Linked DNA regions of Drosophila melanogaster. Each later gene encodes a partner of the first gene's protein in a complex. Each region holds a gene or a part of one and is shown in the gene's direction. Other genes may lie near its edges.

Evidence for each region. Proteins that work in one complex are often made in the same cells at the same time.
Region 2: Smn (region 1) and Glos share a complex: the UniProt entries of both Drosophila melanogaster proteins name them as parts of the core survival motor neuron (SMN) complex.
Region 3: Smn (region 1) and Gem4b share a complex: the UniProt entries of both Drosophila melanogaster proteins name them as parts of the core survival motor neuron (SMN) complex.

What each region holds. Positions count from the first base shown.
Region 1 is NT_037436.4:16,579,898-16,583,449, reverse strand, and holds Smn (survival motor neuron), read left to right. Parts: upstream 1-1,902; 5' UTR 1,903-1,998; intron 1,999-2,062; 5' UTR 2,063-2,267; coding exon 2,268-2,948; 3' UTR 2,949-3,052; downstream 3,053-3,552. Other genes in the region: Rpn12 (regulatory particle non-ATPase 12), read right to left, coding at 1-350. UniProt on the Drosophila melanogaster protein: Core component of the survival motor neuron (SMN) complex that plays an essential role in spliceosomal small nuclear ribonucleoprotein (snRNP) assembly in the cytoplasm, is required for pre-mRNA splicing in the nucleus and acts as a chaperone that discriminates target and non-target RNAs of Sm proteins.
Region 2 is NC_004354.4:3,934,704-3,941,082, forward strand, and holds Glos (gaulos), read left to right. Parts: upstream 1-1,813; 5' UTR 1,814-2,118; coding exon 2,119-2,236; intron 2,237-2,289; coding exon 2,290-4,452; intron 4,453-4,511; coding exon 4,512-4,966; 3' UTR 4,967-5,879; downstream 5,880-6,379. Other genes in the region: CG2938 (uncharacterized protein), read right to left, coding at 1-476, 557-653, 1,027-1,294; Gem4b (gemin 4b), read left to right, coding at 6,357-6,379. UniProt on the Drosophila melanogaster protein: Component of the survival motor neuron (SMN) complex that catalyzes the assembly of small nuclear ribonucleoproteins (snRNPs), the building blocks of the spliceosome, and thereby plays an important role in the splicing of cellular pre-mRNAs.
Region 3 is NC_004354.4:3,939,204-3,944,765, forward strand, and holds Gem4b (gemin 4b), read left to right. Parts: upstream 1-1,643; 5' UTR 1,644-1,856; coding exon 1,857-1,974; intron 1,975-2,027; coding exon 2,028-4,190; intron 4,191-4,249; coding exon 4,250-4,704; 3' UTR 4,705-5,062; downstream 5,063-5,562. Other genes in the region: Glos (gaulos), read left to right, coding at 12-466. UniProt on the Drosophila melanogaster protein: Component of the survival motor neuron (SMN) complex that catalyzes the assembly of small nuclear ribonucleoproteins (snRNPs), the building blocks of the spliceosome, and thereby plays an important role in the splicing of cellular pre-mRNAs.

The sequences.
Region 1 (3,552 bases):
CCAGACAAGAGGTACAGCAGATTCAGACCGAGCAGCTTATACTTGCTCTCCGATTCGCCAATGATCTTAGCGTAGTCATAGTAATAGCACTTCAGCTGCGCCATGTAGCGCTCGAAGGCGAGCAGGTCCTTGCTGAGCACGCTATGCTCCACGGCCACCTCAAGCACGCTCCTAGCCAGGATCAATTGCTTCTTGGAGCTCTGGGCATCGTTTCCGTCCGTCGGCAGGAAGGCCATCTTCACGAGCGCTACTTTCAGTTGATCCAGCAGCTGGCCGCATTTGACGGTGTTTGGTGGCCGCTTTGACCACTCGGCGGTCAGTTCTTTGTACAGCGATTCCACGTTGGCCATTCTTTAGATTGGTATATTGAAGCTTAAATGTTTTCTGCAAATTCCCAAGATGATTTTCGCTTTTTTTTAGAGATGGCAATTGTTGTAGGGTAAAGCGATAGGACAATCGTTATCGGAACAGTTATCGATTGTCAAGTTACCACAGGGCTGGGAATATTATTTAAGTGTAAGTTTAAGTTGAAAAATACATTTTTTAGACGAACTCTATATAGTTTAACAGTTTACAACTGAAAGCTTTATGATTTGATCCAAGGGGTATTGTATTTCCTTTGTGCTTTAATATCGATATATTTTAACAAACTATCTAATGGAGTTTAAATCTAAATTTTCGCATTTAAGCTCGGACTGTTTATTCAATTAGTGATTGTCTCAGTATAGTTAAAAATTTCGGGTATTGAAATCACGTCTATTTGACCTTGGGCATAAGTTTTGTGTCAAGAATAACTTAAATTATTAAGCGATTCAGAACTCTCATTCTTTGTGGGTCTTTAGATGGTACCGCAGTTGCGTGTTCGTGAAATAGCTTTTGGAGCACTTGGTGCATGGGAACGGTCGCTCTCCTGTGTGGCTCATCATGTGAATTCGAAGATGCGCATTCTGGGTAAAACGCCTTAGGACATTGGGAGCACTTGAAGGGGCGTTCGCCTGTGTTGATTATTAGATGCCTTTTAAGATTGGAAGCCAGCGTAAAATTCGATGTACAATGGGGGCACCGTTTTTCAGTGTGTATTGCAATATGTCCCGAAAGATGCGATACGCTCTTCAAAGCCTTTGCTGCTAAGCAGCAAGTGCTGCTTAAGTGCTGAGTTTATCCAAAACCTCGTTGGGCAATGAGGACATTGAAGCAGCTTATCATTATCACGTCCTTTATTTTGCAATCTATGGTTTTCACAACTATCATAGTCTTCGTCTATTACCTCAATATTGACTTGGCTATTGGATTGATCGCTGTCACAGTCCACGAACTGATCATCGTCTTTAAAGAGGCTCGTTCTACACTAGACAACATTCCCATTGGATCATGCCACTGCCTCGCCAATCTTCAACTACACTTTCGAGTTCGACAAAATGCTGAAAAGCACCTCCATCGATACTCGATTCCCCATCCTCGGAATAAGATACCTTGCGGAATCGGGATTCCTCCATTAACTAAACGTAAAATTATTAGCTCCTCTGGTGGGTTTTTCTAAACTCGAACGCATTTTGTGCATCTTGGCAGCAGGAGGTGCAAAATGTTTCGGGTAGATGATCGCCTTTTTCCACTTTGAGGCCAGTGCACTCGGAAATGATTGACGCTATTGAAGCTTCAGTGCCGTGCTTAACTTCAAAAATATTGAACTCGTTTTCACATTGCCCGAGGCAAATTCGGCACACCAACCCCAACTCCATACCTCCGAAATTGAGTTAAAAAATTTAGCGATCTCGCTTTCAGGTCGGATCGATCAATTTATTGTTTGTTTATTGTGTTAAAGATGCATGCTGATAAGTATCGATACTATCGTGCGGTTAATGGGGACGATAGGTACAACACCACTCACAATAAAGTATTTTTAGTGGAAAGTATAAAAAGAAGACTTCAATTAAAACAATAAATACAATACAATTACATTGGAAGTATTCTGATTGCATTGTGAATGTTGGCCACAAAGTATGAAAACTTTTTTCAGCTTTACTGAATTTAAATATTTCTTAACCATTTCGTTCGCTTTCAGAATAATATAATACCCAGAATGACTTCATAAATTTTATCACATCTTAGTTTGAATGTACACCTTTTAGCGATAGTTTCATGTTTCGGCCTGTGCTGCTAAGCGGTGATTCGCCTGCGCTTTCCAACACACAGCAAATTCGCATAAAAGCGAAACTTGGTTCTTCCTTTAAAAACGTGATACTTGCCTGATAGGATAGAAAGCCGAGATGTCCGACGAGACGAACGCCGCGGTGTGGGATGACTCCTTGCTGGTGAAGACGTACGACGAGTCGGTGGGACTGGCCCGCGAAGCTTTGGCCCGCCGCCTCGCCGATTCCACCAACAAGCGCGAGGAGGAGAACGCTGCCGCAGCTGAAGAAGAAGCTGGCGAGATCTCGGCCACTGGTGGGGCTACCAGCCCGGAACCAGTATCCTTCAAAGTAGGCGACTACGCCAGGGCCACCTACGTGGATGGTGTGGACTACGAGGGCGCTGTGGTGTCTATTAACGAGGAGAAGGGCACCTGCGTACTCCGCTATTTGGGCTATGAGAACGAGCAGGAGGTGTTGCTCGTGGACCTCCTGCCGTCCTGGGGCAAGCGTGTGCGTCGCGAGCAGTTCCTTATCGCCAAGAAGGATGAGGACGAGCAGTTGAGCCGCCCTAAGGCATCCGCTGGTAGTCATTCAAAGACTCCCAAGTCATCCAGAAGGAGTAGGATCTCTGGCGGACTGGTTATGCCGCCCATGCCACCAGTACCGCCCATGATTGTCGGACAAGGGGACGGCGCCGAACAGGACTTCGTGGCCATGCTCACCGCCTGGTACATGTCCGGCTATTATACGGGCCTCTACCAGGGAAAGAAAGAAGCCAGCACCACTAGCGGAAAGAAAAAGACACCCAAGAAGTAATTCCATCTTATCTCATCATCACATCACATCTTTTCGAAAGACTTGTAGATATTAAGAAAACAGAACGATTAAATTTATTATATTAAAGAGTCAGTATCGTCATGGTGGGATCTCGTTTCAATTGCTACATAAATGGAAAAAAAAAATGCCGAGGCAGGCAGAAATTTAGGTTGACATTCAATATGGCCACTTGAGAAAATCAGTGCTTCGATACATTTCGTAGCGAGCGGTTGAGTTTGTAGTATAACGGAATTTTCATAACCTTCGATAGATCGTAGAATGGCGATATTTTAGCTGGCAGTATACAAATCAGAAAAGAAAAAAAACGGATATTTTGATTGGTAAGCAGACTTTCTTACACTGCAATAGATTTCTTTAACTTTGGGTATCGTGTAGCTGTTTTAAAATCAGAAGCTGAAAAATTTTATTGATAAAAAATAAGATATAATGATAAAGAGAGTACATGGTAGTATTGCCTAATTAACAAACTAGCTAAAAATGCGCTTGGACCTTTTAACCGTCCATATTCAACACTGCCAAATGCATCCTTTATTTTCACAGGCTTACGATTTGAAATATAAGTGGTAAATCCTTCTCTTTTGCA
Region 2 (6,379 bases), on another chromosome or scaffold:
CGGGCAATTTCTCCTCGTCCACGCGGTCTGCTAGCTTCCAGAGGACCCGCGAAGTTTGCGCCACCAGGCGATGAAACGGAGCCACCAGCAATGTAAGATTGGCGGCATATTGCCGCAGCACATCGTCTGTGGTGTTGCCAGCGAGCAAGCCGGCATAGGTGAAGCCCACAACGTACACAGAGGACAGCTGCTTCTCAGACTCCAGACGGTACAGTTGCTCCACAAGCGACGGACTCACCTCCTCCGCCCGAATGTACTGGGCCAGCATATGCAGCTTCTTGTCCTCGAAACGGGCTGAGCCATCAGTCACCGAGGCGTTATTGTCCTCCTCGTCGGCCATTTCATCCGCGGCCAATGGCAGGCGAAGTTGCTCCACAAATCGTTCGTAGAGCAGCCGTATACTCTCGTCGCCAATGAACACAAAGTTGTTCTTGTTGTCGAAGAAGGCGAGGTAACGCAAACAGCGCCTTGTGTCACTGTAAATAATGAGAATTTCGGTTTGGGTGACTCATTAATTGGGGGGTTATCTTGTCGGGAATGTGCGTTGATTACTCACGTGAGGGAGTACTTGTGCACCATGCAACCGTACGGCTGCCACTCGTTGTCGCCCTTAAATCGGCCCTTGGACAGCAGCCACTGGCAGGAGTCACTGCCTGCGGGAGAACAAAACAAAACAAATCAATATCCATAATAAGCATACGATGGCAGCCAACATCCCAAATATGAACTTTACATGTCGTTTATATTAATCCAACCAACTGCAGAATTTGTACACTAATCTTAAAATTCGACATGATTATCTATATTTACATAAACGTTTGAGATTAAAAGTTTGTAAAAACCTTTTTTACTATTTAAAATGTACCGAATATGGTCAAACGTCAAACTGACTCATTAATAATATGAGAAGAATAAGTGAACATTGGTATACAATTGTGATCTTAAAATGGGTACGATTCCGTATCCACATCCATTATAAATTTCATAGTACTTAGATCTTTAAAGATCTTGTAACCTTGGACCCACCGTATTTCCAGTTGAGCAGGCCGTGATAGACGATGAAGCCGAGGACCAGAAGCAAAGCCACCTTCTTGGCATTGGTGGCGTTTAGTTGTTCCATAAATATATCCGCTCTGGTGGGCATACGCTGTCCTCCGGCGGCGCCTCCAATGCAGATGCCGCCTAGTTCGGGACTAGGGGCTCCATTCACTGACACTCCGGGGGTTCCGGTTGTAGCTGCTCCAATGCCTCCTACGCTTCCACCATTTCCACCGCGCAGTTCGCGTAGCTCCATAATTTATAAGCCGTCTGCCGCCTTCTCCACCGCCACCACCAAACGGTCTGCGACGGAAAGTCTGGCCTATAATATAGATAATTTGGCCTATTGCATGGGCATGTTTTAACCCAGTTCCGCTTGTTCCTTAGGCAGCGACCGACTCCTCCTATCGCTTGCTGTTTCGCTCTTGCTTGGCTTTTATTTTACTTTCCTTTAGCTTTTGCTTCGCCGGCCGATAGACAACCGCGTCTATCGACCGCCACCCACAACACAAAACTATCGACACCGAACAGCTGATTTGTCTGCATTGTGGGCGAACGGGAAAGATCGTTAATAATATCAATTATCAAATTTCGAAAAACACAATACTATACTTTATAGCAAATATACATTTATTTTTTTACCATTTAAGCATTAGCTTTTGCTTTGCCGGCCGTTAGGCAGCCGCGTCTATTGCCCTCCAACGCAATACAAGACTATCGATAACGAACAGATGATCTCTCAGCATTCCTGTCGAAAGGGAGGATCGTTAATAATATCAATTATTAATTATCGAATAAGGCACTACAATACTTAATTTATTTTTCAGCTAAAAATATTTACATATCATAGGAAAAAAATTAGAAATAAAGTTAAATAAATAGGAATAAATCTACATCAGAGAGTCCATAACAAAGCGAAATTTTTGTATTCGGGACATTTTCATTTTCAAAAAATATTCTTCGCACGCAAGATAAGTGGTACGCAACTATCGATTTTGGATAGTCATCTGACGAGAAGACGCACATAAAATTGAATTCGTTCGGAAAAGTTTTGACAAAACGCGAAGTTTCGGCAGCACTATGATAACTGCTAAGAAGCACCCGCTGGACAATTGCCAATTGTTTGTCCAGCTGAAGAAGTTATTTCATGACTACAACGAGAAGGTCCAGCGTCTGAAGGACATGATTTACTGGAGTGGTAAGTGAAGTACCAGAGGTTAGTGCCCAAATATGAACATTGTTTGTTCTCAGGAAACGATGAGCACATTGCGAAGATCTGCGACCAAGTGACGGACCTGCTGGTGGAGCACGATCTAATCATACAGCCGCCAGACACAATGGATCCTTGTGCTATGAATCACCTGCGTGGACTACTGGTGTACCTGGTGCTGAACACTGCACACGATGATATCCAGTGCGAATCGCAGTGGAGCGCCAATGTCATGCATTTGTGTAACCAGCTGCCGCCTATCCCACTGTTCTTGACCATCGCAATAGCCGTTAACTGCTGTCTCATGGAGCCGCTGGAGGAATTCCTTGCTTGTGGACCCCGCTGGCTGACCATCCAGTATTTTGAGGCATTCAATGAGGCTCTGTCGGTCATTAATTCAGATTGCGTGGAAACACTACCGCTGCTCTCTGCCGCCCTCAGAGCAGCCGGTCGCGCAATTGTCAACTGCAATTTGCCCGCAGAAAATAAGCAACTGCTGCGCCAGATAGCCTGCATGGAACATCGTCATATCTTGGACTCTAAACAGCGCCTCCATACGCTGCCGCGTCCATCCACTCGAAAGATTTACCTGGCCAAGGCTATGGATCACCTTATAGAAGTCCTTTTGTATACCCTCAATGATCCATTAAAGCGGGAGAAACCAAATTGCTTCGCCGTCTACAGCCAAATAACCGAGGACATCAGTGACAGCAACTCAAGCGATCCCATGCCTGATCTGCGGCATTTCGCCCAAATACTGCTAGACGTTCTGCAGCGTATCTTTCAGCTCGTTAGCGTAGACACGTATATGTATTGGCATGAAATGAAATCGAAAAGTGCTTTGTATAACTGCCAGGAGCTAATCTGTAGACAGACGGCAGAATTGCTTAAAGTACTCCAATCAGATAAGTTGCTCGGAGAGCATCCGGTTTGCAAGCAGATGCAGAGCTTTGCGGATGCAGCAAAAACATTGGAGCAGCGCGTTGCCGAGATGAGAATCGGTGAACTCTTGGCCTTTATCGATTCCGGTATGGCCACCAATGAGGAGTTGCTCGCCGGGCTGGACAATCTCTTTAGCCGCTTCATAGCCTTTGGCAGCGATGAGTGCCTGGAAACGATGGCAAATCATTTAATTATGCTCACCAAGAAACATGCCCAGATAATACTCAGTTTCCTGGGTCAGGTGGTGGAGTCCGAAATGGTGGTCGAGGACGAGGGCATATCCGTTACGGAAGTAAATCAGGGGGACGACGAGGACGAGACCTCGTCCAACGATGATTACGAAGAGCTGCTAAGCCTAGTACTGCGTCCCTTATTTATGCAATTAAATGTCGAGGACAAGATGGAAGTACTGCTATTACGCGATGAGCAAAACGTTACCCAAGGATTTAATTTCAAGGCTCCCGATCATCGGGAGCGTCGCATACGCTTCTTTAATCAATTGGATTATAATAAGCGCTTCCCGATAACCGAATTTTTAGTACTGTGCTTTGAGAACGCAAGACAGACCTGGATTGATTTCTCCCACTTGGGCGTGACGCATACTCGCTTCTCGAAGCTATTCTGGCACATAGCTCAGTCTTGTCCCAAGCATGCTGCTTTTCATATTTCCGCCTGTGCCGATAACATCTTGGTGAACGAGCAACTACTTCAAAAGCCGTATGCCTTGCAGTTTACACTCTACCTATATGGCCACCGACAGATCCTCAACGGTCTCTACACGTCAGCGCGACAACTGTGCGTTAGTTTGAAAGACGGACGGTGTCCCTACGGAGAGGATGAGCTTAGGCAGGCGCAAAATAGGTTCCTAGACGCGTGTGCCTACGGTTTGGCCAAGTTTATAGAGCCCATGAACTTGCCCAGCTTGCAGTTAATCTTGAAACTGCTCAAGCAGATTAGTCTGGGTGAAAGCAATCTAATCACCCGAGGCACTGCAGAGTTAAATGCACTCGAAAAGGAGCACCCGAAATTGGAGAACGGAGACGATGCACCAGCTGTCAAGGTGGCCAAGCACTACACATATCTGCATGCCAGTTTGCCAGAGTGGCGTTTGAAACACTGGAAGCTGATCTCGCATGTCATGAAAACCATTGATGCCCTACGCTGGGACTTGGCCACCTTTGAAGATTTCCGGGTGGATAATTTAGAACTGGCGGTGTGGTATTGGCAGGACGGTCTGTCTCATCTGACATTCCTAGGCACTGGTGCGCTCTTATAAATGTAAGTCCAAGACGAAAGCCTACTAATTATTGCTCTTTCACAGAATTCCGCCAGAGGATCTTAAACCAAGTGAGCAAATTGAAGCACAAGGACTTTTGGATCATCTACCTTAAAGAAGACACCTTAAAGGACACACGCTCCTTTCTCAAATTGCTAACTCAGTCCAGTGCACAGGAGGCTAACGATCTCTTCAACAAGCTCCTTAAAAAAAGGGCCGATTGTGCTGTTATGGGCGATCTTAGCGATGCAGTGGTCAAGGTGAACAGCGAGTCCGCTTTCATGGCCTTTAGATTCCTATTTCGAGAATATTTGATCGCCTTCCGGAGCCACGCCAAACACAATAAGACCATCACGAAGCGCCAGCATTGGGATCATTTGATGGCCGTTGTGGCCAAGGCTCCATTCTCCATTCGCAACGAGATTATGGAGCTAGCTAGTAAAGCCTTCGCTGTGCGATTCGGCATAAATATCCAGGAACAGCAGGCGGCCAAGTGTTAAGGAGATGCTGTTAGAAGTGTAATTTTCTTAAGCCAAATCGAAACACCGCCGCTAATCGACTAAAGACGTACATATATAATAATCATAACGCTAGGATGATGTTCAATCCAGATATCAGATTATTTTACAATTTTGTATGTCCTTTAAAAGGATGACTGTATGCACATAACATATGTACTACTGCCTTGCAAATTTTTTGTCTATTTAAAAAATACTTTGGCAAGCAAGTGAAGTTATTCAGATGAAAACTATTGCAATTTTGCATGTTCTTCATATTATTCGTATAATTATGTATTATATACATACATACATATATAAAATACAAAACGCTATGATCGAACATCAGAATAATATGTGTGAGGAGTCTACGTCCCCACAAATCTGGGTGCAGGGGAGCGGCCTTGGACGCCAGGAAAGCGGAGAGACTGTGAACTAACGGTACCGCGCTGGACCTTGGACTCGAGCCTGCCAAGGGCACGGAGGTCGAACAGTAACGGTGCGGACTTTGGACACGCACAAGAGGACACACATTGTGAACTAACGGCAAATTAGTTGGACGCGCAAAGGGGAAAATAACGGGATCCCCGCGGCCTATAAAGGAACGGCGCAAGTGCAGCTTGGGGCAGTCAGTCACAACACGCGAGGAGCCACACGTACGCGAGGATAGTCGAGGAGAGTACGGGCGCGAGTCGAGCCGTCAGGAGGCGGCCGCGCAATCGGAACGGCGTCTAAAGAAGAGAGACAGTGCGTTAGAACGCGCGGATACTACCATCAAGTTTTTTGTCTATTAAATAAATACTTTGGCAAGCTTGAAATTATTGTAATTTAGCATGTTCTTATTATTATTCGTATTCTTATGTACGAATTCCAAATCTATCTCTCGATTTCAAACTCAAGTGCCGCATGCGAATCGCATTATTTTAAATACTTTTGCTAAATAGGACCACTGTTTAAAAAACTGCAGTTGACTTTGGAGAAGTCGCAATATTTATAATGTCAATTATTAATTATCGAATAAAACATTACAATAATAATACAAATAATTAATTATCGAATAATACATTACAATACTTTATAAAATATCTTCATTTAATTTTCAGCTGAGCAAAATACAAAATATCATATGAAAATGTTTATAAATAAAGTTAAAGTTAAATCATAGCATGCAGTGGACAAGTCATATTAGTATCTATCTACATCAGAGAGTCTATTACAAAGCGAAATTTTTTGTTGTAGGGACATTTTCATTTTCAAAAAATATTCCTTGCACGCAAGATAATCGGTACGCACCGGTAAACTATCGATTTTCGATAGTCATCTGACAGAAGACGCACATAAAATTGAATTCCTTCGGAAGAGTTTTGACGAAACGCGAAATTTCGGCAGCACGATGATAACTGCTGAGAAGCACCC
Region 3 (5,562 bases), on another chromosome or scaffold:
CTCTTTCACAGAATTCCGCCAGAGGATCTTAAACCAAGTGAGCAAATTGAAGCACAAGGACTTTTGGATCATCTACCTTAAAGAAGACACCTTAAAGGACACACGCTCCTTTCTCAAATTGCTAACTCAGTCCAGTGCACAGGAGGCTAACGATCTCTTCAACAAGCTCCTTAAAAAAAGGGCCGATTGTGCTGTTATGGGCGATCTTAGCGATGCAGTGGTCAAGGTGAACAGCGAGTCCGCTTTCATGGCCTTTAGATTCCTATTTCGAGAATATTTGATCGCCTTCCGGAGCCACGCCAAACACAATAAGACCATCACGAAGCGCCAGCATTGGGATCATTTGATGGCCGTTGTGGCCAAGGCTCCATTCTCCATTCGCAACGAGATTATGGAGCTAGCTAGTAAAGCCTTCGCTGTGCGATTCGGCATAAATATCCAGGAACAGCAGGCGGCCAAGTGTTAAGGAGATGCTGTTAGAAGTGTAATTTTCTTAAGCCAAATCGAAACACCGCCGCTAATCGACTAAAGACGTACATATATAATAATCATAACGCTAGGATGATGTTCAATCCAGATATCAGATTATTTTACAATTTTGTATGTCCTTTAAAAGGATGACTGTATGCACATAACATATGTACTACTGCCTTGCAAATTTTTTGTCTATTTAAAAAATACTTTGGCAAGCAAGTGAAGTTATTCAGATGAAAACTATTGCAATTTTGCATGTTCTTCATATTATTCGTATAATTATGTATTATATACATACATACATATATAAAATACAAAACGCTATGATCGAACATCAGAATAATATGTGTGAGGAGTCTACGTCCCCACAAATCTGGGTGCAGGGGAGCGGCCTTGGACGCCAGGAAAGCGGAGAGACTGTGAACTAACGGTACCGCGCTGGACCTTGGACTCGAGCCTGCCAAGGGCACGGAGGTCGAACAGTAACGGTGCGGACTTTGGACACGCACAAGAGGACACACATTGTGAACTAACGGCAAATTAGTTGGACGCGCAAAGGGGAAAATAACGGGATCCCCGCGGCCTATAAAGGAACGGCGCAAGTGCAGCTTGGGGCAGTCAGTCACAACACGCGAGGAGCCACACGTACGCGAGGATAGTCGAGGAGAGTACGGGCGCGAGTCGAGCCGTCAGGAGGCGGCCGCGCAATCGGAACGGCGTCTAAAGAAGAGAGACAGTGCGTTAGAACGCGCGGATACTACCATCAAGTTTTTTGTCTATTAAATAAATACTTTGGCAAGCTTGAAATTATTGTAATTTAGCATGTTCTTATTATTATTCGTATTCTTATGTACGAATTCCAAATCTATCTCTCGATTTCAAACTCAAGTGCCGCATGCGAATCGCATTATTTTAAATACTTTTGCTAAATAGGACCACTGTTTAAAAAACTGCAGTTGACTTTGGAGAAGTCGCAATATTTATAATGTCAATTATTAATTATCGAATAAAACATTACAATAATAATACAAATAATTAATTATCGAATAATACATTACAATACTTTATAAAATATCTTCATTTAATTTTCAGCTGAGCAAAATACAAAATATCATATGAAAATGTTTATAAATAAAGTTAAAGTTAAATCATAGCATGCAGTGGACAAGTCATATTAGTATCTATCTACATCAGAGAGTCTATTACAAAGCGAAATTTTTTGTTGTAGGGACATTTTCATTTTCAAAAAATATTCCTTGCACGCAAGATAATCGGTACGCACCGGTAAACTATCGATTTTCGATAGTCATCTGACAGAAGACGCACATAAAATTGAATTCCTTCGGAAGAGTTTTGACGAAACGCGAAATTTCGGCAGCACGATGATAACTGCTGAGAAGCACCCGCTGGACAATTGCCAGTTGTTTGTCCAGCTGAAGAAAATATTCCATGACAACAACGAACAGGCCAAGTGTCTGAAAGATATGATTTACTGGAGTGGTAAGTGAAGTACCAGAGGTTAGTGCCCAAATATGAACATTGTTTGTTCTCAGGAAACGATGAGCACATTGAGAAGATCTGCGACCAAGTGACGGACCTGCTGGAGGAGCACGATCTAATCATACAGCCGCCAGACACAATGGATCCTTTTGCTATGAATCAACTGCGTGGACTACTGGTGTACCTGGTGCTGAACACCGCACACGACTATTTCTTGTGCAAATCGCAGTGGAGCGCCAATGTCATGCATTTGTGTAACCAGCTTCCGCCTATCCCACTGTTCTTGACCATCGCAATAGCCGTTAACTGCTGTCTCATGGAGCCGCTGGAGGAATTCCTTGCTTGTGGACCCCGCTGGCTGACCATCCAGTATTTTGAGGCATTCAATGAGGCTCTGTCGGTCATTAATTCAGATTGCGTGGAAACACTACCGCTGCTCTCTGCCGCCCTCAGAGCAGCCGGTCGCGCAATTGTCAACTGCAATTTGCCCGCAGAAAATAAGCAACTGCTGCGCCAGATAGCCTGCATGGAACATCGTCATATCTTGGACTCTAAACAGCGCCTCCATACGCTGCCGCGTCCATCCACTCGAAAGATTTACCTGGCCAAGGCTATGGATCACCTTATAGAAGTCCTTTTGTATACCCTCAATGATCCATTAAAGCGGGAGAAACCAAATTGCTTCGCCGTCTACAGCCAAATAACCGAGGACATCAGTGACAGCAACTCAAGCGATCCCATGCCTGATCTGCGGCATTTCGCCCAAATACTGCTAGACGTTCTGCAGCGTATCTTTCAGCTCGTTAGCGTAGACACGTATATGTATTGGCATGAAATGAAATCGAAAAGTGCTTTGTATAACTGCCAGGAGCTAATCTGTAGACAGACGGCAGAATTGCTTAAAGTACTCCAATCAGATAAGTTGCTCGGAGAGCATCCGGTTTGCAAGCAGATGCAGAGCTTTGCGGATGCAGCAAAAACATTGGAGCAGCGCGTTGCCGAGATGAGAATGGGTGAACTCTTAGTCTTTCTCGATTCCGGTATGGCCACCGATGAGGAGTTGCTCGCCGGGCTGGACAATCTCTTTAGCCGCTTCATAGCCTTTGGTAACGATGAGTGCGTGGAAACGATGGCAAATCATTTAATTATGCTCACCAAGAAACATGCCCAGATAATACTCAGTTTCCTGGGTCAGGTGGTGGAGTCCGAAATGGTGGTCGAGGACGAGGGCATATCCGTTACGGAAGTAAATCAGGGGGATGACGAGGACGAGACCTCGTCCAACGATGATTACGAAGAGCTGCTAAGCCTAGTACTGCGTCCCTTATTTATGCAATTAAATGTCGAGGACAAGATGGAAGTACTGCTATTGCGCGATGAGCAAAACGTTACCCAAGGATTTAATTTCAAGGCTCCCGATCATCGGGAGCGTCGCATACGCTTCTTTAATCAATTGGATTATAATAAGCGCTTCCCGATAACCAAATTTCTAGTACTGTGCTTTGAGAACGCAAGACAGACCTGGATTGATTTCTCCCACTTGGGCGTGACGCATACTCGCTTCTCGAAGCTATTCTGGCACATAGCTCAGTCTTGTCCCAAGCATGCTGCTTTTCATATTTCCGCCTGTGCCGATAACATCTTGGTGAACGAGCAACTACTTCAAAAGCCGTATGCCTTGCAGTTTACACTCTACCTATATGGCCACCGACAGATCCTCAACGGTCTCTACACGTCAGCGCGACAACTGTGCGTTAGTTTGAAAGACGGACGGTGTCCCTACGGAGAGGATGAGCTTAGGCAGGCGCAAAATAGGTTCCTAGACGCGTGTGCCTACGGTTTGGCCAAGTTTATAGAGCCCATGAACTTGCCCAGCTTGCAGTTAATCTTGAAACTGCTCAAGCAGATTAGTCTGGGTGAAAGCAATCTAATCACCCGAGGCACTGCAGAGTTAAATGCACTCGAAAAGGAGCACCCGAAATTGGAGAACGGAGACGATGCACCAGCTGTCAAGGTGGCCAAGCACTACACATATCTGAATGCCAGCTTGCCAGAGTGGCGTTTGAAACACTGGAAGCTGATCTCGCATGTCATGAAAACCATTGATGCCCTACGCTGGGACTTGGCCACCTTTGAAGATTTCCGGGTGGATAATTTAGAACTGGCGGTGTGGTATTGGCAGGACGGTCTGTCTCATCTGACATTCCTAGGCACTGGTGCGCTCTTATAAATGTAAGTCCAAGACGAAAGCCTACTAATTATTGCTCTTTCACAGAATGCCGCCAGAGGATCTTGAACCAAGTGAACAGTTTAAAGCACAAGGGCTTTTGGCTCATCTACCTTAAAGAAGACACCTTAAAGGACACACGCTCCTTTCTCAAATTGCTAACTCAGTCCAGTGCACAGGAGGCTAACGATCTCTTCAACAAGCTCCTTAAAAAAAGGGCCGATTGTGCTGTTATGGGCGATCTTAGCGATGCAGTGGTCAAGGTGAACAGCGAGTCCGCTTTCATGGCCTTTAGATTCCTATTTCGAGAATATTTGATCGCCTTCCGGAGCCACGCCAAACACAATAAGACCATCACGAAGCGCCAGCATTGGGATCATTTGATGGCCGTTGTGGCCAAGGCTCCATTCTCCATTCGCAACGAGATTATGAAGCTAGCTAGTAAAGCCTTCGCTGTGCGATTCGGCATAAATATCCAGGAACAGCAGGCGGCCAAGTGTTAAGGAGATGCTGTTAGAAGTGTAATTTTCTTAAGCCAAATCGAAATTCCGCCGCTTGTCCAACACTTTAATTCTTAGGCAGTCAGATCTCTATATGACTAAAAACATATATAATATTCATAACGCTAGGATTGAACATCAGAATAATTTGATATCAGATTATTTTACAACTTTGTATGTCCTTTAAAAGGGCGACTGTATGCACATAACAAATGTACCACTACCATGCAAATTTTTTGTCTTACTAAAAATACTTTGGCAAGCAAGTGAAGTTATTCAGCTGAAAATTAATAAAATTTTGCATGTTCTTTTTTTTTCGTATTATTATGTATTATATATATAATATACAAAACGCTATGATTGAACATCAGAATAATTTGATATCAGGTTATTTTACAACTTTGTGTGTCCTTAAGGCCGACTATATTTACATAAAATATGTAATACTACCATCAAATACAAATTTGTGTTCTATTAAATAAATGCTTTGGCAAGCTTAAAATTATTGTAATTTTGCATGTTCTTATTTTTATTCGTATTTTTATGTATTACTTCGACTGCTTTGCTTCCTGTTGCAAAATTGTAACTTAAAACTAGGAAAATTTATTTTAATACATTTTTAAATTTCATGTACTCGTTATGTTATAAATTTAACTAATTTATATTCTGTCAAAAGCTGAATGGCATTATTCAGGGAAAGGAAAATTTTGGTGCAAATTGTTATTAATAACATTTTCAAATTACCTAAATAAAAAAAAAAATAGAAAAAATATCTTGTCTTAAAAAACACTATATATATTTTACAAGGTAATTTAACGACCAATGCTTGACAAGTATCGAAAAGATTTCAAACTCAAATGC